Linked DNA regions of Arabidopsis thaliana. The protein of the gene in region 1 purifies or fractionates together with the protein of each later gene. This does not show direct contact. Each region holds a gene or a part of one and is shown on either strand. Other genes may lie near its edges. The genes, in order: GAPA-2 and PRK.

Region 1 (15,754 bases):
ATAGCGGGAACTATCTTTGGCAGCAACCGGAATTTTTCTGTAATGATATCGAAAACTATTACTTTGATTTCAGCATTATATAGCTCTGTGAACCAATAAAGCGTCCCGTTTACAGATGCTGGCTTTTGGGCATGGTATATTCGATAACTTGGCGTGCAATTCAAGTACCTCCAAGCGTTTACCCTAAAATCAAAAACCTCACACTTGGTAAGTCCTTCGTTTGGACTCGTGGCATCAGAATGAGACGCATTAGAATTATAAAACCACACTTATTTGTATAATTTGCATCCATCTCTATTGTTTTGAGAGAGACTTTAGTCGAATTAGTGATTTCACAGGAAGTCTCAAGAAGATTTCCTCTACAACGTCGTTTACTAGATAGGGAAGTGAGAAATCATAATTCATGAGCAAAGCTTTTCTTGATGCATTTGCAACACCTTAAGAATATCTGATGGTTAATGATTTTAATCATGTTCATTGTTGGATAATCAACATGTCCAAAAACATGAGGTGATAATATGATCCAACAAAAGAGAGATTTCAAATATGTAATCAACTTAATGTCATTGACTTTCTGCAATGAGCTCAAGAAGAGCAATTGCTAGGCAAATTTTGAATCTTTGGATATGATGAGTAGGCTTTTTGAACTTTGTCTTGATTTTGATGTCTAAAAGATATATAAGTGTAGCCTCGTTCATTCTAAATAACAACAAACGTATAATGGAAGCAAAAATAAAAACACACATAATCGGTAAAAAATACAATGAGTTCTTTCTTTCATGCTTCAAAACGCATCAAAATAATTAGTAGTATTTTATTTAAATATGAGAAATCAAACTTGGAAAATAAGGAACAGATCTTAAACACAAAAATTGTCTGAAAAATGAGCAAAGAGATCCTGTTTGGGAATTTACCAGATTGCAGGTATAGCGATGTGAGAGTATGATCTTCTTGTCCTTGTATATCGCCACCGGTGTGGATGACTCAACCAAATCCTTTTGGGTCCAATAACATAATCTGGTCAAATTATATCCATCGAGAACATGGAAATGGCAATAAGAAGAAGAAAGCAGATTTATGGTATAAATCTTCTCCCATGCGTCTTCCGATGATTTCAACCTCCAAATCTCTTGGATGATCTTCTTATCCCCTTCTGTTTCGTACATGCACAAACTATTATCTATAATGCACATGTCAATATGGCTAGGCTCTGAACTAGCAATAAGGCTAGGCTTAGGCAGCAACCGAAATATTTCGGTGTGAATATCCAAAGCTATTACTTTGATTTCTGCATTATATGTTTCCGTGAACCAATAAAGCGTCCCGTTTGCAGATGCTGGCTTTTGGTCATGATATATTCGATAACTTGGTATGCAAGTCAAGTATCTCCAAGCGTTTGCCTTAAAATCAAAAACCTCGCACTTAGTAACTCTCGAGGCATCAGAGTTATACAACCACACTAATTTGTAATCAGTGGCCTTCACGAATGCTAGATGATTGACTGGTATCATGTCTCTCAAAGTATCTAGAGTGGGGTTTAACTTGTGCATAAAGATCTGAAACCTAGCCGGAGGAAGTTGTCGGAACCAACGTGTTGCTGGATTAACTACATATATGTCTTGTGTTTTTGGGGAATGAATGCAGAAAATTCCGTCACAGCTTTCAGAAGCGTAGATGGGATGATGGAATCCGCGAGGGAAATTGAAAAGAGCAGAGGATAAAAAACTAACTGATTCCAAAGAGATAGTCCTAAAACTAATCTCTATGTCTGGATTCCATTTTTCAGTGATGATCATGACTTTTGGATGATCCACATGTGATCGCTCGGCTATTTTCAAGTGCCTCTGTGAGAAATAGCAAGACTCGAGCGTCGATCTCCATTGTTTTGAGAGAGACTTAAATCTCATTAGGGCTTTGACCGGAAGTTTCAAGAAGATTTCTTCTACGACATCGTCTGGTAATGATGATGATGCAATCATTAGCTTCTTGTATCTTCTCTTTCTTTGTGATGATGATGATGATGATACAATCGCTTGCTTTTCTTCATCCATGACCATTGTTTTTCTTCTTCTTATTGATACGAGTGAATTGGTTTTGTCTTTTTATACACACACTTATCTCCAAATTCTACTCTGTTAAGGATTGATAAGGATTAGCCGGTTATGAAAAAGGAAGTTTATCATCCCACAAAATTTATGTTTAAATTAAAATAATAGAAAAGGAAATAAAAGCCAATTTCGACTAAGGAAATGGAAATACATTTTTTTCAGAAACAATTTATTTATTCTCTAATTTGAGTGATTTTAGCAAAAACGAAAAAAATACAAGATTTGCTAACAAACAATTCTGATTGGCTAAAACTAAAACCAAGACCCAACAAAAAAAAAAAAAAAAGACACTAGAAACGAATTGAAAGTTTGAACCTATATGAATTCGGTTTTCAGCAGTCTTGTTTAAAACACGTCTCAAGATAAGTTTTATAGAATCAATTATCGAATAGTTCTTCTCTATAGTGGAGAATACTCGTGAGATAAAACAGTAATAAGTCAAATACAGAATCAGATCCTTTTAGTGACTTGCTTCGAATTTGCGTTCTTAAGGTTCTTCTTGTTTTTGAGCTCTAACAAAAATAATTTATTTATTTTCATGTATAAATATTAAAACTGATTATATAGAGAGACAGGTGATAGTTAGCAGTGAATGCTCGTTGGTACAACTCCTCATTCTTCTCCGCAAAAATAGCAAGTTATTTAACAAACAAAAAAATTCATATAAACGATTTTATTTTTTTGTGACTTTTGAGATTCGTTAATTCTGGAAAATTTGTTTATTTTCAAAACAAGAATATGGATTCGTCATAAAAGCTAGGCTATGATCAACATGTTTCATACAAACAAGAACAGGGCTTTTCAAGAAAGTAGCATTCTCTGTTTCTGTTGTCTCAATCCCTTTTGATTTTTTTTGTGTTGGCAGATTCATCAAATGTCGGTTCTTTCTTCTCGGACAGGACGAGATCGTCAACGTTACGACAACAACTTCCGTCTCGTTTCTGGGTACCAACAACTTACACAACAAAAAATCATTTTGTTTTGTTTTTTTGTTTCTTGCAAATCTTGAAAATTTTCAAGAAACCCCAAAAATCAGAAAACAAAATTGTTGATTTTCTTGTTGTTTGTTTCTCTATACATTATGAACAGATGCATTCCTTATAGGCTGATGAAAGCTGACGAAACTGAAGAAGACTCAGGTGTTGACTTTGTAAACAAACTTGAAGTTCTTATGGTTTCATCTCCTAATCGTCATGATCTTGTCTTCCCAAAGGTCTTTTTTTGAATTGAAAAATCATCCTCTGTACTATCATTTGTAATTGCTCATGTTAATTTGTTGTGTATATTATTATCAGGGAGGATGGGAAGATGATGAGACTGTTCTTGAAGCTGCTTCTCGTGAAGCCATTGAAGAAGCAGGAGTTAAAGGAATACTTAGAGTAAGTTTACACCTTTATTAAACAAAACACTAAGAAAGCTATTTTAAAGTTTTTTGAATTAGATGTGTTTTGGTCATGTTTTTGTTTATAGGAACTTCCTTTAGGAGTTTGGGAATTTAGAAGCAAAAGTAGCACAGTGGAGGATGAATGTTTAGGTGGATGTAAAGGATATATGTTTGCATTAAAAGTTACCGAAGAACTCGAGGATTGGCCAGAGCGAAAGAATCGTGAACGAAGATGGGTAAAGCTTAAGATTCAAATGTGTAGTTATTCATATAAGTAAGTACAATGTTTTAACTCTGAGATTACTCGAAAATGTGCAGTTGACTGTTAAAGAAGCGTTGGAGCTTTGTCGGTATGAGTGGATGCAGAGAGCACTTGAAGAGTTTTTGAGAGTAATGGAAGATGAAAGAAGATTGAGAACAGAGGAAGAGACAGTGCATGATTCTTCAAAGCTAGAGGAGGAGAGTCAAATAGATCCTTGGTACTGTTTTGTAGTTAACTAGTTTTTCATATTCTTTAGCTAACGTAAACAAATTGAAAAAATGAGAAGTAAAGTGACTGCAACACATGTGACATGATATAATCTCAAATCATCTGTCTTGAATCTTGATATCTGTCTGTTTGAAGTGATAAAGATAGAGTTGTCTTTATATGCAATTGGGACACCAAATGCAAAAAGACAAAGGACATAGAAGAAATTACCTAATCACACACAAATCAATGCTTAAGGCTTGACTTCAAAATCAACTGAATACACTTAAGAATCCAAATCCCTAAGCTTATGTCACATGTTTAGTTAGGTTTCTTGACATTTGTACAGTTTTTGTCTGAGTCTATAATGACAATGTCCTTGTCACAACTTGGCTTTGCTCCATACATTCCTTAATATGAATCACCTCACAGACTAAAGTGTGGAAAATATTAAGCAAAAGGACAAAAATAGAGAAAATATGAAACACTTCCTTGTTTCTGCTGACACAGTTTACGAAGGAGAAATAAGTCTTTGGAGTTAAATTTTTGAACTCCCAACAGTTTCCTTAAATTTAATGCCAAATCCAAAAAGGCATCAATCAAGTTCACACACTCTTTTGCTCTTCTTACTCAATATAGAGTTTATATAGCAGCATAAGGAACCTCAAAGCTCAAGAGACTTAAAGAGAGAGAAACATTGATCTCTGAATATTGTGAACATGTTGAAATCAAGTAACAAGAGAAAAAGCAAAGAAGAGAAGAAGTTACAAGAAGGGAAGTACCTTGGAGTGAGGAGACGTCCATGGGGAAGATATGCAGCTGAAATCAGAAACCCTTTTACTAAAGAAAGACATTGGCTTGGAACGTTTGATACAGCCGAAGAAGCTGCTTTTGCATATGACGTTGCTGCTCGATCCATCAGCGGCTCTCTAGCTACAACAAACTTCTTCTACACTGAAAACACCTCTTTAGAAAGACATCCACAACAGTCTTTGGAGCCTCATATGACTTGGGGATCTTCTAGTCTCTGTCTTCTTCAAGATCAGCCTTTTGAAAACAACCATTTTGTTGCTGATCCTATCTCTTCTTCTTTTTCTCAAAAACAAGAGTCTTCTACCAATCTCACTAACACTTTCTCACATTGTTATAATGATGGTGATCATGTTGGCCAAAGCAAAGAGATTTCTTTACCTAATGATATGTCAAACAGTTTATTCGGTCATCAGGACAAAGTCGGTGAACATGACAATGCAGACCATATGAAGTTTGGCTCAGTTCTCAGCGACGAACCTCTCTGCTTTGAGTATGACTACATTGGGAATTATCTTCAGAGTTTTCTCAAAGATGTCAACGACGATGCTCCACAGTTTCTTATGTGAGCTTGTATTACCGATCCTTCAATTTATGTAATATAAAAAGTATTGTATCTTTCTTTAGTGTCAAATGCATTCCCAAACCAGAGTTGTGTATTAAGCAGAGGATGTAATATGTTTGAATCAAGTTTATTACTATAAATTATAGAGCACAAATACATAATAAACTCAGGAACTACAATTATACATTCCGAATCATGTAACAGTAAAAAATAATGGAGCAGACATCAAGAGGTTGTTGAGTCTTCACTTCCAGTTATTGGCAACAATGTCAGCCAAATCAACGACTCTCTGTGAGTAACCCCATTCATTGTCATACCAAGCAATCACTTTAACCATATCATCTCCCATAACCATTGTGAGGGAAGAATCAATAGTGGAGGATACATCAGAGCACCTGAAGTCAACAGAGACAAGAGGCTCATCACAGACGTCAAGGATACCTTTAAGCTCTTTCTCAGCTGCATCTCTGAAAGCAGCATTGACTTCTTCAGCAAAAGTTTTCTTGGAGACTTGCACGACTAAGTCAACCACTGAAACGTTTGGAGTTGGCACACGCAATGCAATTCCGTTAAGTTTTCCTTTGAGGTTAGGAAGCACAAGAGCCACAGCTTTGGCTGCTCCTGTAGATGTTGGAACAATGTTCAAAGCTGCTGCTCTTGCTCTCCTTAGATCACGGTGGCTCGCATCTAACAACCTTTGGTCACCAGTGTATGAGTGAGTAGTTGTCATTGTACCCTTTATGATCCCTAACAAGTTTAACACACAACACAATATTACTCAGATTTTTACAAGATTGCAACATAGCAACATTTGACTTTCAATGAGACGCTTACCAAATTTCTGGTCAAGAACCTTGACGAATGGAGCGAGACAGTTAGTAGTACAAGACGCATTGCTGATGATCGTATCTTCATGGCTGTAAAGTTCAGCATTGACACCAACGACATAAGTTGGGATGTCACCTTTTCCAGGTGCAGTGATAAGAACCTTCTTGGCTCCAGCCTGAAGGTGCTTCCCAGCACCGTCTCTGTCAACAAACACTCCGGTTCCTTCGATAACTAAGTCAATGCCTAGTTCCCTAAACATCATCACCAGGTTTAGATCTAACTGGGTTGATTCAATTCAAATGATATGAGAAGTGTTGTTTTAACTTACCCCCAGGGGAGATTAGATGGGTTACGATCAGATACAATCTTGATGATCTTTCCATCAACAGAGAGAGCTGAGTCTCCTGAAGGTTTGACATCAGCGTCAAAGATTCCAAGAGTTGAGTCGTATTTGAGGAGATGTGATGCTTGTTTAACACCACCAGTGTCGTTAATGACAACGACATCAAGAGGAGAGTCCTTACGACCATGCCAACACCTCAAGAAGTTCCTACCAATCCTACCGAACCCATTGATGGCTACCTTTATCTTGGCCTCGGTCACCCCTTTCCTGTATCCACCATTGCTTCTCATCTACAACACAGAGACAGAAAAAAAAAACGTATATGGTTAATCATGGCTGATCATGCCATGCAGCCTTGTTCATCATGGATAGATCTACAATGGTGGCATTAGACACAAGAAACAGCTCTTGAGTTTACAAGATTGCACCATAAGATATATAACACAGGAGCAATAGAGAGGAGTGGGTGAAAAAGGAACTCACTGCAGAAGTTTGGAAACTGACGAAGGAAACAAACTCATCGGAAGAAGATCTCTTGGCAAAGGGAAGAGCAGAGGAGTTTCGAAGTCCTGAGAACTCAGAAAAACCCTGAAAAAGTAAAACATGAGAGTATTTATGAGATGATGATAAAACTTGTGTGAAGGGCAATCAGATAATGTGGTTAGGAAGATGAAACAAAACCTGAAGAGATGGTTTGGCCACAGAGAAAGTAGCCGAAGCCATGGCTACCAGAGAGAGAAGCTTGTTGTATGATGTAAGCAGAAGAGGCAGAGAGTTGTAATATAGGAAAATATGAATTGCTGAGTTGGAGGCAAAGAAGATGAGATTCTGGATAGCTTTGTCATTCATTTGTATGGTTGTGGTTTTATCTCTCTTCCCTCTTCACGTTTTCTATGATTCACACATATTTTTGATTTTCTCACTTGGGCTTCACAAGTGGATGGGCTTCTCCATCATGTGGTCACATTTGATCTAGTGACTCGACGACATAGCTTTTCTGACATCTCTATGCTGCAGATGAAAATCACTGACACATTAAGAAGTGTGACCCTTCTTGCTCCTTCTTAGCCATTTAAAAGATTACACATTTTGTCTTTGTAATCTCAAAGAAAGATGTGTCATTATGTCTCTGTACCTTTTTGTTTTGCGCATTGACTTTATAGAAAGCTATTCCAAGAAATACAATAGGTACTGAGAGGTGTAACTAACTCTAGCAGTCCATAGCTCTAATCAAATACAAAACTAAACCTAATCATCCACAATTGAGGTACACACTTCCCATGGATCATACTGCAAAGATTGTGCTACGAGAGAAAAAGCAATGAAGCAAAAATCTAGATCAAAGGATTATCCTTTCTTATCAATCATACATCAATAAGAGTCAGTGCTAAGCTTTGCATCTTGAGTATAGCAACAAGATCAAACAGATTCATTAATTCGATTGAGAACAGTCTTTACATCTTGAGGATAGTAACAAGGGTAACGAGACCCCTAATACGATAGAAAATGAGTAAAATCTAATCTGACAAGAGATGAGAAATTCTTTGAAAAGATCAAACCCTGAGAATTTGCAGCTTAGTAGAGAAAGCAATTGCGACCCAATCAGGCTGAGAAGAGGACCACTGAAGCTGCTCAATCTCAGCACCAGCAGTGTAAGCTAGAATAGGGTCAAGACCACCTTCAACATGCTGTCCCATGGATGAAATATCCCAAATCAAAGCTTGAGAATCATCTCCAGCAGTACAAATGTGACAAGAGCTATGAGGAGCCCAAGCAATGGCATTGACACTAGCTTGATGTCGTTGAAGCTCAACCACAGGAAGAGCCGGAAAACGAATGTCAAGCACCACAACTTTAGCACTGTCCATGATAATAGTAGCCATGTACCTAGGATCCTGTTTGTTCCAACCAAGACGCACTAAAGGAGTATCAGGCTCGGAGCTCTCATAGATAATCGTCGAATGTTCCTTATCACGAAGATCAAACACCCTAACGGAGCCATCAGCTGAAACAGATGCAAAAACACCAACACCACCCCAAGCAATATCAAAAACTTCCTTATCATGAGCAATAAGCTGAGTATCAACAGCTTCACGCTCAATGTCCCAGATAGTACAAGTCGTATCAGTACTAGATGTTCCAATTCGACGTGGCTCAGCTTCATTCCAATCAAAAGAAGTAAGAGGACCACAAAACTCACTGTTCTTATTGCTATTGAGACAAGATTTGAGCTCAACACGGGAATGATCATCAGCGATTCTCCATAAACGAAGGAAATCACTTGAAGTAGCGAGAAGATCAGGTCTTTGGCATTCCTTGTCAGGTATGAAAATGGTCTTCGTTGGTGGATAAGGATGCTCAAAGGAGAGGTTAGGATCGGAACGGATCTCACCATTGGATTCATCGAGCTGCACAATCTCGACACGGTTCGGGTATTGCTCGAGGAGGCTAGTGATGGCGAGACGATACTTCTTATCGCGACGAACGCTCCAATTCATTGCGTAGATGTGCCATGGCGCTTCGTATGTATAGATCTCTGATCGCTTCTGCTGCTCATCGGAACCATCTTGAATCGGATCGCTGCTCGTTCCCATCGTGAAATCGATTCCGAGCAAAAACCCTAGAAAATCGCCTCCGCTTCTATCACTCGCTCAAAAGCAAATGGATATTCCAGTCATCCAGTTTATTTTAATAATTGACGAAAACGACACCGTTTAAGGAAAACAGAGTAACATGGCTAACATCGTTATCTCCGTCTCTTCTTCACCAATGATTTTCTCGGAAAATATAAAACCAGAAGAACAACAAAAAGATGTTTAAAATCCTCAAAAATTACAACACAAATTGTCTAACAGAAAGAAAGAGTCAAGCTTTTTAATGTTCTATAGAAAACAAGAAACTTAAATCTCTCTTCTTTGTTGATAAAAGACCATCTTTATGCCACATTTTCCCTCACTGTATCGATCTGAAACCATCACCAAAAGTTTTCCCACTTTAATCAGAATCTTCGTAAACTTCAGTATCTGATAACTCATCAAATGTCCTCATGTCAAGCTGGTAACGTAACATACCACCAATCCCACCAAAACCTCTGCAAAACTGTGACCCTTCTTGGGATTTGTTAGTCACAAACTCAAGAGTGCAGCCGAAACGTTTGTACTCATTTGCAAACCATTCGAGTAGAGGCATCTTCTCCTGTACTTCTAGCTCCGCGTTAGTCTCTGAATCATGGAAGTTGCTTGTATCAGACTCTTGATCTTTCCCAAAGTGTTTCACCACCATTTCTCCTGTCGTACTGTTCTTTAGCTCATACCTGTTTATGTCCAGATTCTCCCACACGATAAGGGTTTCGATAGCACCCATTTCTAGAGCCTTTAGAGTATCCTCCACACCGAAAACGTATTTCCCGGTATCTTGACTTATCTCCTCAAAGTACTTCCCAATCAGTTTCTTCTCCTGTATGAACTTCACATTGGATAGAATCTCAGCAGACAGCTCAATCGCTTGGTTGAAACCGTTTTCACCTCCGTAAGAAACATCAACAACATTCAATATCTTAGCTTGAAGACGAGGATCAAACAACTCTGATTGACTGAGCTCAGTTTTGAAATCAGCTGAACCAGCAAGGATCAGACCAGAGACATTAGGCTGACTCGTAGCTGGATTGATGTAAAACTGTGTAGCAAGCTCAGCGGTTTTCCTAACATAATTGTGTCTCTTCTCCATCCTAAGACGGGCAAAACGAAGTGCAGACTGTCCTCCTCTTCCGTGCTTCTTCGGGAGATCAACAGTAAACTTATGAAGAACCTCTCTAGTATTCCCACTCAAAGTTCCAAACAGTGTCCCATTACCATCCATAACAATGAAACCAAACTTGTCATCAGACTCAAGAAGCTCGTTCAATGCCTCAGTATGGAACTTGTTGTCACAAAGGTACAAGGAAGCATTAATCGGCCTAAAGGGCTCGAAATCAAACGTCACCTTCTTCTCTTTACCGTCATCATTAACAATGGTGCCGGTATAGAGAACAAGACCATTAGTAGGAACCTTGTTGTAAAGCTTCAACCTTTGTTGAGCAGAAGTAATGGCAGACAAAACAGATTGACGATTGACTCGACTCTTAATGTTTGAAGCAGTTCCATATTCATCACCAAGCATCTTTGTGACACGAGATACTTGATCACGAGGAGGCATAATAAGAGAGATCATACTCGTTCCATTACCTCTAGCTGATTCAAGTCCCTTGATTAGTTTCTTAATCTTCCAGATCTCGATGTTCGTATCCGCTTCTTCTGCCATTTTTAGCTTCTCTCGAGGTCGAAGATGGAGAAGGAGAAATCAAAAAGCAATCCCCCAACTACACAAGAAGAACAAAATCAAGTTTCAAAAATGAGTACTTTGAACAGCGTGAATTTCGGACACAACACTACGAATTTTGGTTTCAAGTGAAGTAAAGATCGAAACTTTTGAATAAACGATTACGATGAACAGATTGAATCCATTATGCAGAGAGATTGAAATCGAGCAAGCAAAACGTAAGCTCGTACCTCTTTTTCTCTCTCCTCCGGCGGCCTCTCTCCTCCCAGAATTGACTGGCCTAGGGTTTTCCCCAAATTCTAACTCCCAACCCAATCACGTGATACTCACGTGGCAAACCACATGGAAAGCGAGCTAATGGGCTTTATCTTAACTCAAAAGGCCCAATTACGTGAAAAGTGGAACTGGCTGTAGTCTACATTACCAAGACGCCTTCAAACTGCGTGCCGTTTATTGGTTTGCCTCATAGATTCAAAATAAATAAATGAGAGTTAAATGTTAACAATGGGATGTATATTATTATCCTTCTCATCAGATGAATCTAAAAGAAATGGCTCAAGATTCTTCATGAGGTTTCTTTTCCTCTCCTACTGTACATTAGAAACAGAGCATCGACAGAAATGAAGAAGATGATGGATCATTGCCCTCATTATTAAGGCAACAAAATAAAATAAACATTACAAAAAAAAAAAGTTTATCGATTGATTTATTCATATGATGTTTGGATTTGGATCGTTTCGATGAGAATCCGCAAAATCTCTCACTAATCGCTTCAATGTTCGACCGTGTTTCCCTTGCATATGTCCTCCTGAACTGTTATTGCTTCCAAAATTGCAGCTTTTGTTCTCAAGATAATCGATCCCTGCACCTCCTAGAGCTTCTGACCATTCCCTCACTATGCTTTCTGCTTCTCCTTGCTTTAGATACTCGCTCGGAAGTGCCCAAACCTGAATACAAACAAACAAAAAAAAGCCATTAGAATAAACAACACAGAGGCGGAGTTTGGTGTTGATGTGATCACAAGAGAAAGAGAGAAACCGCTGAGTTTAGCCATCCTTGGAGAGATTTCCAACACAACATTCCTTTCCATGAAGTCCTCTCACATAAACTGCAGATTGCAGCTAATTGTTGCAGTATCGTTGAACACTTATGGACCTAAAACAAAAACAGAATCAAATATCATAATCCATCAACTACTTTTTGAGAGATCTTACTCAAAAATCTTACCCTTGACATAGCTGCAACTCCAAGTAGAGCATAGACCAGATTAGACAAAAGTCCCTCTCCACAGTGAGATACGACCTGGACAGAGACCACGCTGAATGATCCATCTGATATGCTATTCACGGTTTCGATCATGGAAGAAAGTGAAACCTCCAAGAAACCTATAAAGTTCGAAAACATTGTGTTAAGTATGCTTATAACCAAAAATTAATGCTGTTTTCGTTTGTAAACCACTGCAACCTTACCTGATAAGTATGACATTGCAGCTAAAGCAGCGCCTCTGTGCATAGCTGTACAACATATAGCCGCTTTGTGGAAAGAAATTTCAAGAAGTGTTCCAGAAGTACCCAACAACTCCTGTTTGATCAATATAAATTCACCCCAAGACTCCTTAAGAAATTATGAACTGAAAGTTATACTTTAACAAGCAAAGAGTGGTTGCAAACCTTATGACAACTACGGATAAGTGCTGATGCGAAATTCACATACGCTTCCACCAAATCGGGTTCTTGGTCGCATATATATGAAGAATTTATGCCCATCAGTGATGATGCTTGAGTAAATCTTTCAAACGTAGTGATAAATAAGGACCCATATTCCTCCTTATGACAAAATTCTTCGGCGATTACACAGGCTGTGATAACAAGTTCGTGAAAAGGTGAAGTTCAGACAACTGGCTGGTCAATAAACTAAGTTTGGGAAATAATTTATCCAAGCTCGCCAATAAAAACTGTGACAAATGAATCAACGCTAGCATCTCAAAAGATTTTTCTCCAAAAGTGGAGCCTGTACCTGAATTAAGAAACCCTCACCTGTTCTTATGTAACATTCTTGGCTTTGGAATGACAGAAAGTTTCTCGATAGACAATCCAGTACACTAGGTAGTAACAGCATAAAGTGCTCACCTGTGAATAATGCAAATTTTCACATGTTAGTGAAACCTGCCTACTGTGCGAAAACAAGAAATTTTCACAGGTGTAAAGGACGCTTTGGAATAAAGAAATGTTCCAGGCTAATAAAGGCACAACGAGTCGAATGTAGCGGAATAAAATAGGGAGATGAGAAGTTTGAAACCTGACGACTGAACTGCCACTGAAAGAGCACGGCATGCTGCTGCAGCTAAACTACCACTCTCCATGTGTTCAGACCTAAATAGCTTCTCCAAAATGGGCCAGAAAACAGTCAACAAAGAAAGGATTGGACCATCTGCCACAGGAACAGATGGCAGAGACGTTGCAAGGTGACTGAATACAGTTCCTATCCTGATTCATGAAACGAGTGAAGAGCAAAGTCATCAATATGATATTCTTCCCAAATTTGAGTACACCTCAAAAGAAAACTACCAGAGAGTGCAAGCTACTAAAGACCATGGATTGATCAGAGTCATTAAATCTATTTTGCGCCCGGTTACCAGAAAAATATATATAACACAAAATTATGACAATGTTATTTATAGATGTCTTGAAGTCCGGACGCAGCAAAAAGTTCACCAAAAAGCTCCTAGATTACATCGCAATTAAGCAGGATAGAAAATAGATCAGTCACAGAAGCAGACCTGTAAAGACCTCTTGTAACAGAGCTCAGCATTCGTGTATAAGTGGCTGGACTTTGTCTACCAGAAGACTCAGCGTCTTCATCTACCTAAAACCACAAAGGTATTAGTCCAAATCTATCTCAGAAGTGCATCAAGGCACGGAAACATTAGAAAATAATCCCAGAAAGAAAAAGATCATCTTCCAGGTATCATTTCTGTACTATCTATTTATTTTTCTAGTTACTAGCTGAGATATTGATGAATACTGGCCTCAGAGAAGTATGTGGACAATTAGCTGATTATTTTTTCATTAATGCAGAGCAAAAGCAAAGAGCTACTTGTACAAGAAAAAGAATGAGAAGGAGAACCTTGAAGAATAACTCTTTCTAACTGAACAATATAAACACTTACAAGTTTCGAAAGAACTCCATAACTTGACGAAAGCAATTGAGTTAATAATTTATTTTGTAGCTCTTTATTAGCAACAGAGCCAAGGATCACAGTGATAGCGGTAATGACTTCTTCTTCATCTTCCAAGGTCAAATCCCACTGCTCCAAACACTAAGAAAAGTAAAAAATATATATAAATATAATGATTCAGGATATAATTTCAGCGTAATTTGAAGTTTGCTTTGACAGTTAAAAAAAGGGTCTGATTAAGCTGATACCTCTCCTATCCACATTAAGATATCTAAATTCGATGTTTCCTGGATTACAGCAGGAGCATCCTCACAAATTTTACGCAGAGCAGAAGCACAAGCATGTGAACAAATAGGTTCGGAAATCCCTCCTGCGAGAAATAATCTGAAACCAGAAAGACCATGCAGCACTTATGTTATCAGAGAAATTGATGTTGAACATCCTTACACAAGATTGAAAAATAGCATCAGAAAAAAGAAATAAATATGAACAGTTTCAAGCTAATATGCTAAAAAAATTATTGCATTATTGTGAACGGTCATTGAAGAAACTAGACTTACAGCAACGGTCTGGCGTTACTTGGAAAAACAGAGATCCATCTTGAATAGGAGCCAACAACATCTGCCAGTGATCTGTATACCTAATAGTTGATTATTGTCAAATATTGACTGCATTTACAGTACAAGAAAATTGTTGGTGAGGCAAAGGTATGAACTGACATACAACAGATATAAACCCCTTGAGCTCGCTGGACGGCCTAACGGAAAATGCAGAAACCAATTGCATGATCAATGCAAAATCAAAGGCCTCTCCCTCTTGCAAAATAATTTCAGAAACCTGAAATGGTAGAATCCATTAATAAAGACAGGGATGAACAATAGAAACTAAAACTCCTGAAAACTGTCAAACTTAAGCTATGATTTCCAAATCTCCAAAAAAAAAAGTGATAATGGATGGATCACTAAAAGAGACAAAACAACTAACAGTAGAAAACCCATACAATGTGATCGTACCCCTCTGGGTTGTTCTGAAATCAGAAACTTAAGATGAAATAACTTGATTGGAAGAAAAGAGCTCAAAAGTGCTCACCGCAGTAAGAGCAAACAACTTCGCCTCAATCTCCCTCAAGGGCATCGAAACACTTGAAGAAGGCACACCACCAAAAAATAACTACAGGTATATCGGCAAGAAAAGGTTAAATATAACACAAGAAGGAAAAAATCATACTTCATCACAGAACAAGAAAGAGCAAAATCTACTTATCAAGCAATTTTCTAACAAAAGTACTCAAGACACCAGATGAATGCTGTTCTGTTCACGATAACTAACGTATTAGACAGTTACAGAGTGAAATCATCTCATGAGAACTGATAAGATATAGGAGAAAGAAGCTGATTTCAAGGTGACATAGTCCAATATGTTAAAATTTAGGGTAAATCCTGCCTGTGAAGTGAGAGCACACCTTACTCACAAATGTTGTAGGATGAAGTAGCTGACAAATATCTACCAAGAGCTCAAGAAGATTATTTCTAAAATGCAACAGGCCATCAGGAAGGTCAAGCCCCGGACTCTCATCACTGGAGGTAAACTCATCAACCTGAAGATAAATTGCTAAGGAATTTTAGAAGCACAAAGAAAGACCATTAGTACAATAAACAAAGCACTTGTTCAACAATTCGTGGGCTTATGAATATTTAAGAAATGACAAGCTAGGAATCCAAGATTATTTGATACAGTGAGTGGAATGAAGTA
Region 2 (16,133 bases), 7.1 Mb from region 1:
TCTATTAAGTTCCCAAGTGCTTTGTTTGGGATGTTCTGTATTTTCTCTGTTCTTATGATATTTGATTCGGTTGTTCCTGCTGCTGCAAATGGTTTGATGAATTTCTTCGAGCCTGCGTTTCTGTTTATCCAAAGATGGCTTCCTTTGTTCTATGTTCCTTCTCTTGTTGTTCTTCCTCTTTCTGTTAGAGATATTCCGGCTGCTTCAGGTGTCAAAATCTGCTACATTGTAGGTATGAACTTGATCTTCACTTGGTTAATGATCTTGTGTTCTCTGGTAGCTTTTATGGGTTTTTTGTCTAATTGCTCTGTTTTGTTTATTATTTAATGCTGATCTGATGTCAATGTTGATTTGAATGTTTGTTTGTATAGCCGGTGGATGGTTGGCGTCACTTTGTGTAGCAGGGTACACAGCTATTGCAGTGAGAAAAATGGTGAAAACCGAAATGACGGAAGCCGAGCCTATGGCAAAACCATCACCATTTTCAACACTTGAGCTATGGAGTTGGAGTGGAATCTTTGTTGTGTCGTTTGTTGGTGCTCTGTTTTACCCTAATTCATTGGGGACAAGTGCAAGAACTTCTCTCCCTTTCCTTCTTTCTTCAACTGTGCTAGGTTACATTGTAGGTTCTGGGTAATATTCAAAAACCCTTCTTTGTTCTCCATCTTTAAGCCTCTCTATCTCGCGGTTATTCTCAGTGTCTTATCTTTCTTTCTTCCAGGTTGCCATCTTCTATTAAGAAAGTTTTCCATCCGATAATCTGCTGCGCGCTATCTGCAGTACTTGCTGCTCTAGCTTTTGGGTATGCTTCAGGATCTGGACTTGATCCTGTTTTAGGTAAAGTTACCTTCACTATGAAAGAAACTATAGAGAAACCCTTTTTTGACCTAAAACAGAAAGTAAAAGCATTTTGTTAACTGCTCTTTAATGGTGACAGGAAACTACCTTACCAAAGTAGCATCAGATCCTGGTGCTGGTGACATCTTAATGGGTTTTCTTGGCTCTGTCATTCTCTCTTTCGCTTTCTCCATGTTCAAACAAAGAAAGGTAAAACAAACAACAAACTTGTTCTGTTTTGCTTTAGAAAACTGGTAACAATCGCTTTGGTTTGCCTCTGTCTTCTTCAGCTCGTGAAGAGGCACGCAGCTGAGATCTTCACATCTGTGATAGTTTCAACGGTATTCTCGCTCTACTCCACTGCTCTTGTTGGACGTTTAGTCGGTTTAGAACCTTCTTTAACGGTTTCAATCCTACCTCGCTGCATCACGGTTGCATTGGCCCTTAGCATTGTATCACTCTTTGAAGGTATATATGTTTCTTCTTCTTCTCAACACATTAAAGAACATCCCTAACGAATTTGTTGGACATTTTCAGGGACCAATTCGTCTCTTACAGCAGCTGTAGTCGTTGTGACTGGTCTGATTGGAGCTAACTTTGTACAAGTTGTTCTTGACAAACTGCGTTTACGTGATCCAATTGCTCGGGGAATTGCAACTGCTTCAAGGTGACTCCATTACAAAAGATCTTTCACATTTTGAATTAAAATTATGCATTAATGCCATTAGGATCAAAAGACATGACCTTTCTATTTTTTATGGACAGTGCTCATGGACTTGGAACAGCAGCTTTGTCGGCTAAGGAGCCAGAGGCTCTTCCCTTTTGTGCAATAGCTTATGCTCTTACCGGAATCTTCGGATCGTTACTGTGTTCTGTTCCTGCCGTCCGACAGAGTTTGCTAGCGGTCGTCGGCTGAGGATTGATGATGTGGCGAAACACGATTGATGGTCTCAAAGCTGGCGAGTTACTTAAAATATGAGAGCAGTTTGCTTTGGATGTCAAATAAGCTTGTATTAATGAAAAAGATGATGGAAAATGTTTATTTATTTTATTTTATATATGTAAATGTTGTGAGATTTGTACAACATACATAAATTTTATATAGGAGTAGGATGTCCCAGCTTTCCAAAAATTTGTCACAAAGGTATATTGTCTCCATTTGAGGAAGATGAGATTTGTCGATGAAAACTTCGTCCTCTAGTTGAGTTTGTTACGTTGACTAGACAATAATTGCTCATATAGTAATAGCAGGTTGAAGATTCATTTGATGGAGTTAATGTTGAAGGCCAAATGAGGAGAAACAATAGATTCAGCAACATATCCTCGAAGGCCGTTAGTCGTGGACTTGGCGAAGGCGCTAGCAATTGGCTGAGACTGAGACGCTAGTTGTTAATGAAGAAAGTTTCACATTGGAAGTTGGGGTTAGTATCAAGTAGTATATAAAGAGTTAGAGTCACTCTACTTATTGCCAATTGATTTTAGGTTGGAATGTCATGTTAAGCCCAAATCTATCACTGGAAGTACCTCATAGCACCAATGATCAGTTTTGATAGCAGCTTCATACTTGCAATCCCAACCAATAGTGATCTATGAAGTATATTAAGAAATGTTAGAAACAAATATTCTAAAGCTTCCACGGCTCTTTATTTGCTTTGAATGATTATTTTAATAATTTGATTATTAGAACCAAAGTATGTTAAAAATTTAAGATTTTATGAAAATGGATAAATTTAAGATTATTTTGAATAGTCATTTATATATATATATATATATATATATATATAAATTGCTAACCGATCCAGGAAAAACAAAACCGAAACAAAACTGGTTGCGAAAATCTTATAAAATGATAATAGATTTTGATATGCTGGTAAATTTACATTTCACTTTTCTTAAAATGTGAATATAAATATTTTAATTTAGAAATTTATGTATTCTTTATTTTTCTTTTCTGTCAAACAGAAAAATCTGTCTTCAATTTCATCTTGTATGTGATAAAAAAAAATTATAAGAAGTCCCCAGTAACAATCCTTTACAAACAAATTGATGAATTCAACAAAAATAAGGGAGAGGGCAAAAGCGTAAATAACAAAAGTCGATGACGAGGGCCAAAGCCCCAATGGAAGGTGTTAAGCTAAACTCTCTTCTTGTCTGATATTTCTTCTACTCTCAAGTCTCAACCACATAACCAATAAAAAATGCTACTAATCCCAATTTCTTCTTCTTCGTCTTCGTCTATGTAAGTTTCCTCCTTTTTAACATTCAAATTCTCATCTCTTAACCATATTACTAACATCGTCTTTGTTGTAGTAGCCCTCCTCCTAATTCATATCCATCGAATCATCACTCTCTGTTTTTCTCCAATCTCACATTCCCAATTCAACATGGTACTTATCCTTCATCAATCTGTTGACTTTTTTTTTCAATTTCACAATTCAAATTCGAAGATTTGGGTCTTCGTATCAAGAGTTGAGATTACAATTCTGTTCTTCAGGAAGTAGAAAGTTGAAGACTTTGCGACTCAGAGCCAATTTCTGGGAGTCAATCCGATCTGGGTACTGAAAAAGCTTCATACTTTACTTACTCATATGAGAAATTAGGGGCTGATACTATAACACACCATTGTTGCAGGTTTGTGAAGAATAATAATAGTACGCAACTTGTGGAACCACCTTCTATAGTCAATGATGAAGAAGAAGAGACTGAGCCATTGTTACCTGTGGAATTTACTTTAGTTGAGAGAAATCTTGAAGATGGTTTAGTTGAAGAGATCATATTTTCTTCTGGTGGTGAGATTGATGTTTATGATCTTCAAGGTCTTTGTGATAAGGTAGTTTAAAACACTACTCCTGTGCTCTGTTTATGCTTGATGATACTTCAAAAACTCTCATTTATGGTTATCTTATGGGAAAATATAGGTGGGATGGCCAAGGAGACCGTTAGTGAAACTAGCTGCTGCTTTGAAGAATAGTTATATGGTTGCTACTTTGCATTCTGTAATGAAGTCATCATCAGATTCAGATTCATCAGGTGCTTATAACTAAGTATAACACTTTTCTTGACTCACTATAAGCAATGTGTATATATATACAAAGAGGATGTTTTGATGAACATCTTAGCGGATTTTGGAGAAGTTATTTGACACAGAAGGCGGGGATGGGGAGAAGCAGCAGGAGAAGAAGCTTATTGGTATGGCACGTGCGACGTCGGATCATGCCTTTAATGCTACAATTTGGGATGTTCTTGTTGATCCTGAATATCAGGTTAATCAAAACAAATGATATGGTTTTTGCATTTAGTTTTTGCTTGCCAATATAAATGCTTTGTGTTTGATGTTAATTGGTGTTTGTGTTTGTTTTCACGTTTCAGGGTCAAGGGCTAGGTAAAGCTCTTGTTGAAAAACTTGTAAGGGCTCTTCTTCAAAGAGATATTGGTAACATATCTCTGTTTGCAGATAGTCAAGGTAAAACATCGAATCACTGTTTAATCTGCAATTTTTGTGGTCAAAATATTTGGATTTGTTCTTACTTAGTTGTTGAATCTGTGTTCCTTTTTTGTAGTTGTGGATTTCTATCAGAACTTGGGGTTTGAGGCTGATCCAGAAGGCATCAAAGGCATGTTTTGGTACCCAAAGTAGTACTTGGTGATTGCAAGAAAATGGGATTGTTACTTGTATGTATAATTTCTTTGCTTTCTTATATGGAATCTATAAGGAAGTTTGAACTGTGTAATTTGTAATCCAAAAGCTATTTGACATTCAAGTATTCAACATGAGTATGATCAATAGGATAAAACTGTTCTTTCTTTTGCTTAGTTGATTTGTGGTTTGAATCTACTTTGATGCTGTAAAGAACAAATTTTGAAGGCGTTCTATAAACTGAACTGTTATTGCTCTGCTATTCACTTCTCTACATTACAGGCTTTTTCTTTTTATCTCCACACAAATTACAAACAAGCAAGACCGTCCTTTTCGCCATGAAAATCCGCGGTAAACAACGCATAAAGAAAGAAAGAAATAAGAAAAAGAAGAAACTGCGGATGTATTTATCGACGCGTTCTATTTGGCTTCGCTTCGTTTGTTTTAGGCTTTAGCTTCTGCACGAGCAGTGGCTTTGTTGGCAATGAGCTGCTCATAGAGATCTCTGATCTTCAATCCAACAATGGTTTGGAAAAGACCAGTACCGTTGTTGCTACCCGGGAAATCAGCATGTTTGAGCATTTGTTGAGTGACTTCTCCGTAGAATTTGGTCGAGAGGTTGCTCAAGTGACTTTCCACGTAAATCAGCTCGTCCAGTCTATCAAATTGTCCATCCATCTCCAAAACTGATACCTGAGAGAAACAAAAAGGGAGATATATGCAATGAGTCTAAATTCTCATACACATGCATTTTCATTCATTTCTCACAATATGTCATTATGCAATATGAATGTACCTCATGGTCGAAGTAGGAGTCAGGTTCGTAGTTGAACTTGATGCCAGGGTACGAGCAAGTGAGTTTGCGGCCGCAAGGAATCCACGAGATGGTTGAACCTTCATCGAACAGGTAAACCGGGCTGAAGTACTTAACACCTTCCTTCATTATCAATCTCACTCTCAACACTTTCCCTTCGTTGTCATCTGGGATCAGAGTCGTAGGAAGCACTTCTATGACCGCATCCGCGTACTGCTTTTGCGGGTCTGTATAAGCCATTGAAAATATTATAAACTGATCAAGCCGAATATGACACGGGGTTACATCAAGAAATTAGGAGTGTTACCGATGAATGCATCGAAGTCGGGCTTTCGGGCTTCGATACTCGCTTTGATGCTCTCCAAACTGTGACCTCTTTCAGCCATGTCCCTCTGTGACCATCAAAAACGTTACAGATTCAGTTTTATAAGATAAACCGAAAACGTTCCACAAAATGGTGTAAATGTAGTTGAATTATTCAAAGAAATTCACCTGAATTTTCCAAGCGAATTTGACTTCGTTGCTAATGTCCAAGTAGATACTGAAGTCTAGTAAGTCTCTTACTCGCTCATCAAACCTTCACAAGTAGATAAATATTATTATAAAACATTACAAGTACCAAAACTATAGACTTAATTATTCGAATAAAAATTAATCGGTGTCACACACTACATGCATAGATTCAAAGATCCATCTTTAATTATTCTGATACTGATTCTAGTATAAATCTAAGTCCAGATTCTTAATCATCGAAATTCCGACAAGATAAGAGACTTCCAAACTCTAAAATTTGAGTATGTCTAAGATACAAAACAGAGTATCATAACAGAGTATGTGTAGCTTACATTGGGTGAAGACCTTCGATGACAAGAATCTTAGGAGGCTGAATAAGCTCCGGAGGGTCAAGAAGTCCAGTGACATGGTTATAAATCGGTTTCTCGACGGCTATACCATTCTTAAGAGCTTTGACTTGCTCATACATGAGATCAAAGTCATTGGCGCGTGGGTCCAAAGCGGTGACTTTCTGCTCTTTCCTACCGTACCTATCCAAAGAATGGTAATCATCAAGACAGATCACAGTGGTCGTGTCGCTGATGAGTGTGTTGGAATCAGGGTTCCCGCCTTTTGGTGGCTTAGCAGCGCCACCAAAGACGCTGGTGAGCCTCCGCATAAAGGTACTTTTGCCGCAGCCAGAGTCAGCAGCTAGTCCGATCACGATGGTTTCTTGTGCGCAAGTGATGAGTGTGTTGAATCTACGGTTGGTTTGTGGTTGACGACGGTAGAGGAAGACTTGTTTGGAGGAGGAAGAAGAGGTTAAGAAATGAGTTGAATTGAGAGCTTGTGTTGAGTAGATAGTTGAGACAGCCATTGTTGTTTGTTTGGTGTTTTGGTCTCCTCTTCTTCTCCGCCTAAGCTCTTTTTTTTTTGTTTAGCTTTGTGAGCTCAGGTTGAGTGATGAGGATTTAGGATAGAATGAAAGAAATGTGGGTAACGATTTTTGATTTTATGGTTTTTTGTGTGGTGATATAGAGATGTGATTTTTTTTTTTTTTGAAAATAAGATTAAATGGGGAAAGAGAGAAATGAGAGGAGGACAATGGGTCTATAGGAAAAACAGATGGCAATTTGCAGAGAAGAAAAGGAGTTTTATTTTGTTTTGTTTTGGTTTAATGTGGTTGTGTGATGATTGGCTCATGTTTTGGTTTCTTGAAGTAAAATTGTTTGTAATGTTGATTAGTCTCTATGTTAAGATGTTGTTGATAAGATAAGAGGATAAGAAAACATTTATAGCCATTAAAAAACCAAAGATCATATCTTATTTACTTCATGAAGTAATAAACTTATGGTAATTTTGTTTGATTTTTTTGGCTAAAAGATAATTTGGAGAATAGAGTTTGGGAGAGGAGTGGAGTTGCCGATGAAGTGATAAAACTAACAGGGCATGGAGGGAGACGTTGCTTGGTGGTTATTTGCTTATTTTTTTGGGATTTGGATATTTGAATTGACACGTGGGAGATTCTAATTGGACAGATGGGGATTAGGTGTTTAAGGTCTGAAGATGAAGGAGAGAGTATTATGTGGGTCACATTTACACGTCACCGTATATCCCCCCTTGGCTTCGAATCTTTATGGTCTTTGAACAACTTACCTTTTTATGCTTTTATTTTTTTCTATAGGGATCAAAGCCTTCTTGCGTTACCTTAACAATGGGCTTCAAGCCTACCAATTAATAAAGACACCAAGAGTTTTTTTTTTTTTTTTTTTTTTGTGAACAGATACCAGAAGTTTATTACTCATGAATTTCACCGTAGGGTAATTAGTAAAAGAGATTACATCGGGATTAAAAAAACAAAACCATGGTTTATTTATCGACCGCGATAGAGTCGGCACTAGTTGCTTATTCTTGGACACATTGAACGTAGTCTCCACCAACCACCATACAACTTCCATGTCAAGCATGAAACTATAACGGGTCAGAGAATTTGTTAGGTTAAAAAGTAAAAACTATGGACTCACATTAAATCTTTCCAAAAAAATTACTTTAATCTCTTTTGAGTTTTGACTCATGGAGTTTGCAAATGAAAAAAAGTTCTTATTTTGCTCAACAGAAGAATTTAACGAAGTTTTATCTCTCTCGAGTCATGGTGTTTGCAAAAAAAAAAATTCATAAAGTTCACGGCCATATCGAAACATCTATACTTTGTTATACGCAATGATAATCAGAAGGACCAGATTCTAAGATTCAGACCGAAGAGAGTCGCTACTAATAATTCATAGCTATGATTTTTTTTTGTCTAAATAGTCCATCCACTTCGCCGAAAAAAAATCCCAAAAGCTAAGAGACGATATTGGTATATTACAGACCAGAGAAGAACAGAGTAAAAAACATAAAGAAATGGCCGAACAACCACTCTCTCTTGCTACTATAGTAACTAAAGAATTTACCTCAATCAACACAACGCATCAAACGGTAAAATGGTAATTACATTCATAGGAGATACACATATTTCAGACCTTATATCGTAAGGGAAAATTACCATCATCTTCCTCTTTATCTCCTTTTCACTTGTTTCCCCTAAAGTAGAGGTAAATTTTCTGCAAAGCCAAAATGGGAAACCAGATCAATCAAATGTTTACTGGTTTCATCAACGTCAACAGTTTTGAAGAAGCCATGAAAAGTATGATCAGAGGCTTACCTGAAGAACCCATAGACTCAGCAGTGACTCCAAGCAGAAGAGACCGAATCCGATAAAGTAGAAGATCTGCCATCATTCATTAGGGTTAGACACATTGAATATATTATAGGCGTCGTCATGAAATGTAAAATAGGTGTATAGCTCATACCCCAGCTAATAAACTGTCTGAGATGACATCAATTGCTGCAAGCACACCCCTGTTGATCGAAATAAGAGAAAGGGTTTTTAAGTTAATCTCAAGGCAACAAAACATACAGAGGTGAATCACAGCTAGATTCTCACTTCTACTTGTAGTCATAATCCTCATTATTTTGTAACAACTGAATATTAATAAACCTTTCAGAACAATTTAGAACTTTCCAATTGAAGCCCTCACCAGACTAACCAACTACATATGAAGTAAGAGTACACTCAAACGCAAGTAGAAACGTAGGCTATTATTGGAAGACTTACGTTAATGATTTTCCATGGAAAAAGATTGGAGGGGCGATGGCAGCAACGATGCAGAAGCCAATGTGAATCTGTAAGGAGCTCAGGTCAATCATGTGGAAAATGGAAGTATATCTACTTAAAGGTAAGATATAAATAGGTTTTATGAACTCACCAAGTAGGTGAAGAAAAACCAACCAAACTTCAAAGCACTGTCAGTCCTGCAAGGCCGTAAAATGTATTTCAATTATATCGCCTGTAATTGTACTTATACAAATGGAAGAGAACCAGTGAGCAGGAATATTACCTCATGGCTCGGTAGAGTGGCCTGTACCATAGTACATAAGAGAGTGGACATCCGATCAATGCATATATTGTGGCCAGGAAAAAGATTTTAACACCTATCATTGATATTTTAAAACCACCATTAGTTGAACCAAATCCAATCAAAATTCTCATAAAAAAAGTTACCTTCATAATATAAAACATTGTAATATAGTGTAGGCTCACCTCCGCCTTTAATCCAGCAGACCATCGTTGCAATGACATTGAATACCAGACACAGAACGATACCTGAAATTTTAATAGTCGAACAGTCAAATACAAGCCCAACAATTCAACACATTAGATACACGTGATAAAAAAAGACAGAAAAACAAGATTAGCCTTACCTAACCAACTAGCGAAAGCCAGATACTGCAGCTTTTGTGCATGAACTGGTATCTCTTTAGCAATGTCATGGTGTATGATTGGGAAAAACGGTGGCCAGTTTTTATCATCTATCTGCACACCAACTGCAACACAATTAAACGACTATGGTTAGTTATCATCCACCACGAAATTTGAAGAGATAGTTCAAAGAAAGTCAAAACTAGTGAATAATATTGTCATCAAGTTGTCATCTGCTTACATTTAGCAATAGCTTCCTCTCTTCGCTTTATATCCTGGGTGAAATTACACAAAAGAACATCAATCAGTAGAAAATTAAGAAGCACATTGACGATATATTTGACAAAGTCCTATAAATAGTACAAACCATTTCTTTCTTCCTGAGCTCAGCTTCCCAGTCAGCAAGCTTTCTCTGTTTCTGTGAAGAGTCCTGCATCAATTAAACACACATGTTAGATAAATCCAAGTTAGAAAGGTTCAAGAGTTTAGAAGATATTGATGTCATTACATTCATATTATCCAATGGAATATCAACAGTAGCATCAAGGCTTTGACCATATTCAACTGGCCTAGATGCAGCAGGAACCCTTCCACCACCTTTCTGCAAAATTTATCAAAAGTTACTAAAATTCAAAAAACTATCAAACGTCAAGCACCAATAACACAAAGAATCAATCAACAATGAGTTTGATTCTCCAAAACTAAACGAATGAGTCACACTCCAAATTGGAAGAAATTACTCACAAACACTATTCATTTCTAGAAATTTTTTAACCTAGTTTCCAGATCCACAGATATAAGTTCAGTATTCCGAATAAACATCGAGAGATCCATAATCTCAACACTGTTAATATCATTTTCAAATAGAAATGAACCTTCCGTAATCAAAATGACATTACACAGTTCTCAGTCCTCAGTTTCTGCTATTTTCCATTTGCACAAAACTAAATAAAAACTCAACAAGTGAGAGATCTAGATTCCACTACCGTCGCGAACACACAAAATCCAACTAGAGAAAAAAACGAAAAGAAATCGAAGATTCAGGGAGAAAGAGAAAACGTTACCGAAAAAGGATTGACGATTTCTTCGTCCTCATCGAAAGGATTGGGATCGTGGTGGCGATTCATTGTTTGTTAGAGATCCTAGAATAACGATACTGATAGATTTGCCTCCTATAAGATCGCCGGGATCCGGCGAGAGGTGAAAAGAAAGAGAGAAGAAAAAAAAAGAGAGCACCGACTCCACTGTGAAAGCAAACTGATATGGTTGGACTCTCTTTTTCTTCTTTTTCTCTCCCACACGAAACGCGGAATTTGGAACTATTGGTATTTTGACGAAACTAACCCTAAGAAGTATATGGGCCGTTTTGGTTATTTGTTTCGGGCTTTAAAGTAGGCCCGACTCATTCTTTTATTATATACACGATTAGGGTTCGAAAACTTAGAAAGAAAAAACACATGATTTTATGCTATAAAGTATAAATTACTACTAATACATTAACCTGATGCTCGGAATCTCAAGCTACGTTTAAACTACTATACTTGAGAGATCTGGTCCGTAAGATTTGCGTCCCCTGGACGCTTAATCTCCACCATGCAAATGACCTCTACTAAAAAGACATACATAACAGCAAAGAACCAAACAAGCCATAGAGGGGCAACGATGAGAGTGAAGATGGGAGAAACAATGGAGATGAGCATGAGAGCTGCAAGAGCCCCAAAAAGATGGCTGATGTGTCCAACGAAGTGATGGATCGGAGCTTGGTTTCTATTGAGCTTTACTTCAGTGACTCGGAGGACGACGTAGATCAGAATAAAGACACAGAAAGAGAGGATAGTGGCTTGACGATCTGCAGTATTGGTTGAAGCTGAGGAATTCTCTGTGATCTGCAGCAAACCGATGGCTCCGCCGTTGATAACAGCGATAAGCTTGTGTACTGCGGAGGAATGATCAGTGTTTTCATCGCCGGAGTTAGAAATTAGGGTACTGTGTACCGGACTACCGGAGGAAGACATCTATATTGTTGGTGGGTTTTTTTTCTTCGGATCTCGAAGTTTTTGTATTTATAGGGGCAAAAGAGGAAACAACGAGGAAGCTTCGAGCCCAGTTTTTAAAAAAGTGGCGGACCTCATCTAAGTCAATTTATGAACTCATTCTATTTAATAAATTGAATGGTTGAGTTAGTCAATTTATAAACTCATTTTATTTATTCGATAGATTGAATGGTTAAATGAATAACTCATTTAAGTAATAATTTAATTAATAATTACTATCAAACAATAATCAATAATTTTCATTATTATTATTATTAAAATTGAAAATTTAATTCATAATTTTCGAAGAGAAAATTATGGATTTACATTTTGGATGGAATATTTTTTTAGCGAACAAATTAGGGGTTTACGTTTTTGGCAAAAATTTAGGGATTTACGTTTTTGACGAGAAAATTACGAGTTTACGTTTTTTGGCGGAAAAAGTACGGATTTACGTTTATGGCGAGAAAATTATGTTTTTGACCGAAATTAATATATGCTATCAAAATTGATATTTAATAAATAGTTGCTATCAAAATTAAAATTCAATTAATTTAATTAACAGAAATTAATATCAAACCAAAAATGTAATTAATTTTATTTTTAAATGTTTAAAAATATGTTTTATATTTTAATTATCAAAAATAAAAGATGGTTTAATTAAATGTTTTTTACAGTTATTTAAATAAATTTTGAATATTGAAACTAATTTCGAATTCAAACATATTAATTCAATATTTATAATGTTATATATATATATATATAAAGTAGGTTTGTTAGATTTGATTAAGAAATGTTTTAAAAAATATCTGATTGGATTAGTAATCTTGTAGAATATAATAAATACTATAAATCTCTATGACATAGGAATATAATTAGTTTTCTAATTTGAAAAATCTACGTAATTATGAATCTACATATATATTTTTGCAGCCATTTTATGAAATAAATCCTCAAATTGAAATTTATTTACAAGGAATGCCATTGACATTAATTATTTTCAATTAATTAATATTCCTAATTAATAGCATTTCCTTATCTAATATATCTCAATCAATTCTAATTACTTAAAAAAGAAAAATCTTAGGACATTATTAATATACTTGATTAAAAGATCAAATATTATAGTTAATTAAACATTTAAAATATTTAACGGAATAAACGTTTAGAATATTTATAATATGTGAAATCTATAAAAATTAAATAATCATTTGAAAAAAACTTTTAAATTGATTTAAATTATAATTTTTTTAATTAAAGTATTATTTTAAACAAAAAACAAAAAAATAATTTTTAATTTCACCGAACGGGATTAGATGGTAGGACGGGTTTATAATATTTATAATATATGAACTTTTAAACAATTAAATAACCATTTGAAATAAAAACTTTAAATTGATTTAAATTATATATCTTTTCAATTAAAGTATTTTTAAAACAAAAATAACAAAATAATGTTTAATTTCATTGAACGGAGTTAGATGGTAAGACGGATTTCGATCGATAAAATACTAGACGCTATACCACGGGTGAAATCCATTAGATATGTTTAATTTCACTGAACGGGATTAGATGATATGATGGGTTTGGGTCGATAGTAATACGAGACGGTATACCATAGGTGAAATCCTAAATATAAAAATCAAAATACAATTATATTATCTTATACACTAAAAAAAAAAAACTATATTAATAAAATAAATATAATTAAAATTTAAATTATTTAGTTATAATATAGATTTTAACTTAATGAACTGTATGTTATTCATCCTATATTTTTAAACAGTAAAAATTAAATATAGTAATTGTACACTAAATAATATGTAGATATAAGAGTTGTACATTTAGAAAATACAGAAAAATTAAATTCTATATATGTTAAATACTCTAAACAAGTTAAATTTTTATTTTTTAAAAAAGATATAACCCCGCGGTATACCGTAGGTTAAAATCTAGTGCTATTGAATAAAAGAATAAATAATTGGAAATAATTAAAGATTTTCTTCCCAAAATTTTTGTTGTAGGATTAGATCTTTATTGGAAAAAACGGCTATTTGTAATTGTAATGAATGACTTATATTGGAACTTATAATCTGATATTTTTAAAACCGGCTCAAAAATAATCTCGTGTTTCTAAACATGTATTTTTCATGAAATTTTTTTTTTAACTCAAGGACATTCTTGTAAATATCTGCAAACTTTCTACCCATTTGAATAAATGTACTTCAATAGTATTAGATTGATTGTCTATGATTTTTATCTCATTTGATAAAAGTCTGCACACTGATAATAAACCGTTATTTCCCTTTAACAACAAAAAGATAATAAACCGTCATTTGCATGCAATTTGTAATCACCCCCGCCCTTCGTCAAGTGTATTTATAACCTTTTTTTTTTTTTATAACCTTTGTAAGTCATAGTAACCTTCATGAATGCTGCCAAAAAAGAGGAAAAACGGACAGAAGAGAGTCCTGCTACCGAAAAAAAAGTGCATAATATTGGATTCAGACTCGATGAACAAGAAAAATAGAAGTAGTGGTTTTTCTTCACGTTTTATTGAATAGGTCAAAGATTATACGTGTATATATATATATATATATATTTTTTACTTACGTTGTATTGTCGTTGTCGTCATTATCATAAACACATCATAATAATATCTTAATCTCGTGTCTAGTTTTAACTGCATAACTAAATCTGAGATTTTCATAATCATGAGTTTAAATTCTATATGGTGGTGTTTGTTTTGGATTATTTGGTTGAGATCAATTGTTAATATAATTTGATGTTAATATATTATTATTAAACGATAAAATAAATCATAGAAAAAATATTGGAAAATAATTTGCTATTTAGATAAATAATTAAATTCAATTTTAAAATAATCATTATATATTTTAATTTTTAATATTAAAATTTAATTAGTTAACTTGATGAAAGGTTTAGTTTACTATATATACTCACATGCTTTTTTTGGCAGCGTTAATTAAATGCGCATGCATGGGAAGCGAGACGCCGATTTTGAAATGATTATATATAATTATTATATATTAGTAATGTTGATGTAAAATATAGGAAAAGAGGGCGTTATGACAATGAATTCGGCATTTTTATGTGTGTGAAAGAATATCGATTGTCCACCCAAAAGTTTGTTTCAAATAAGAATTATTTATCATGTATAAGAATAATTTATATTTCCTCCGTTCTTATTTAGTTGATATTTTAGAAGAATGCGCATAAATTAAAAAATTATTTAATTTTGTTTATTTTTAAACTAAAACATTATTTATTATTTAATCAACTAATAAAAAAATAATTTACAGAATAAAAATCATCAGAACTAATAAAAATAGAATTAGTTTTGCATTGAAAATTTAAAACATCATATATTTAAGAACAAAAATAAAAGCTTATAACATCATTTATAAAAGTACGGAAGGAGTACTTAAAAAAATGAAAAAACCCCAATAAAGTAAGCAACAAAATGAGAAAGAGAACGAAATTATAATCACCTTCGCGGTCATTAATTCGAAGATGACGGAGAGATAAACTGGAGTACAACACAAACAAGACCAAGACATTATGTGTATTAACCAGCTTTCAAGAATTAAGCAATACAATCATTATATGAATCAGCCTACAAAACGCCAAACAATGTCAAAAAACCAAGCAAACTATTAATGAGGCAATTCGTCAAACACCTAGAGGGCATTATCATAACTTCGGCCAAAAGCTTCTAAGAAATCAGTCTAGCCTAAATCGATCAACTCAACCCTACAAAATCAAATCCAAGTGTTCGTAAATCTGACCCATAACAAAATTGTACTAGCGGATGAAAACGAGAAGGATAAAGTGGGAGGAGGCTGACACAATTGAATGGCAAAGAACCGGGCGTCGAAGATAGTTTGGGGTTTCAGGCCAACAAAGTCAAAAGCGAGAAATAATTTAAGAAGAAGAAGAAGAATATGGAGATGAGAGCGAGAGTGACAAAGATAGAAATTACTAAAATCCAATAGATCAAGGGTATTATAATCATAGGAAAAGAGAGTGAAGAGGTAAAAAAGAGCTAGGAGAAGAGAATAATCTAGGAAGAAAAAAAGAATAGGGATCAAAGAGGTAAAAGAGAAAAAGAGGAAGAAGATATATAAAAATTAGGGTTTCATTTTTAATTTGAGAGTTTTTTTTTCTTTTTTTTTGGCTAAGTGTTGGCGGTCTGGACAAAAGTTTCGATGAATATCGGTGGTGTGAAATAATTTTATTTGAGGCTCTGTTAATATAGGGCTTAGAATTTTTGAAATACTATAATATAGTTACCAAAATTCGAATATCATCATTAATAGCAGTTACAAAAATGTGTTATTGTAAATTTTGAACCAAACAAATTATAACGTTTACATATTCATAAATACTATCCAAAATATAAGGCTAAATCTAATATAGTAAAACCACACCAATTATTATATTTTAATGCTAAAAATACTAATTATTCTTGTAGAATTAAACCGAAAAAAGAATTCA

What was found.
Region 2: the proteins of GAPA-2 (region 1) and PRK fractionate together in Arabidopsis thaliana (co-fractionation; one large-scale study listed by BioGRID). This does not show direct contact.

What each region holds. Positions count from the first base shown.
Region 1 is NC_003070.9:4,387,054-4,402,807, forward strand, and holds GAPA-2 (glyceraldehyde 3-phosphate dehydrogenase A subunit 2), read right to left. Parts: upstream 7,402-15,754; 5' UTR 7,357-7,401; coding exon 7,189-7,356; intron 7,096-7,188; coding exon 6,991-7,095; intron 6,844-6,990; exon of another isoform or gene 6,798-6,843; coding exon 6,493-6,797; coding exon of another isoform or gene 6,489-6,492; intron 6,416-6,488; coding exon 6,171-6,415; intron 6,084-6,170; coding exon 5,581-6,083; 3' UTR 5,385-5,580; downstream 1-5,384. Other genes in the region: AT1G12870 (F-box and associated interaction domains-containing protein), read right to left, coding at 76-183, 915-2,057; NUDT12 (nudix hydrolase homolog 12), read left to right, coding at 2,983-3,053, 3,198-3,321, 3,404-3,487, 3,579-3,728, 3,811-3,993; AT1G12890 (Integrase-type DNA-binding superfamily protein), read left to right, coding at 4,681-5,340; ATAN11 (Transducin/WD40 repeat-like superfamily protein), read right to left, coding at 8,061-9,101; ERF1-2 (eukaryotic release factor 1-2), read right to left, coding at 9,502-10,806; AT1G12930 (ARM repeat superfamily protein), read right to left, coding at 11,535-11,771, 11,863-11,979, 12,052-12,209, 12,294-12,405, 12,495-12,682, 12,861-12,953, 13,123-13,310, 13,604-13,689 and 6 more.
Region 2 is NC_003070.9:11,523,192-11,539,324, reverse strand, and holds PRK (phosphoribulokinase), read right to left. Parts: upstream 7,127-16,133; 5' UTR 6,658-7,126; coding exon 6,134-6,657; intron 5,866-6,133; coding exon 5,781-5,865; intron 5,681-5,780; coding exon 5,596-5,680; intron 5,516-5,595; coding exon 5,271-5,515; intron 5,168-5,270; coding exon 4,919-5,167; 3' UTR 4,686-4,918; downstream 1-4,685. Other genes in the region: LrgB (uncharacterized protein), read left to right, coding at 1-232, 372-633, 722-837, 938-1,047, 1,128-1,305, 1,375-1,504, 1,603-1,753; NSI (nuclear shuttle interacting), read left to right, coding at 3,036-3,076, 3,148-3,224, 3,332-3,392, 3,469-3,667, 3,756-3,867, 3,985-4,100, 4,207-4,300, 4,398-4,474; SCAMP5 (SCAMP family protein), read right to left, coding at 8,351-8,383, 8,485-8,550, 8,633-8,681, 8,938-9,005, 9,089-9,134, 9,221-9,314, 9,424-9,486, 9,585-9,707 and 4 more.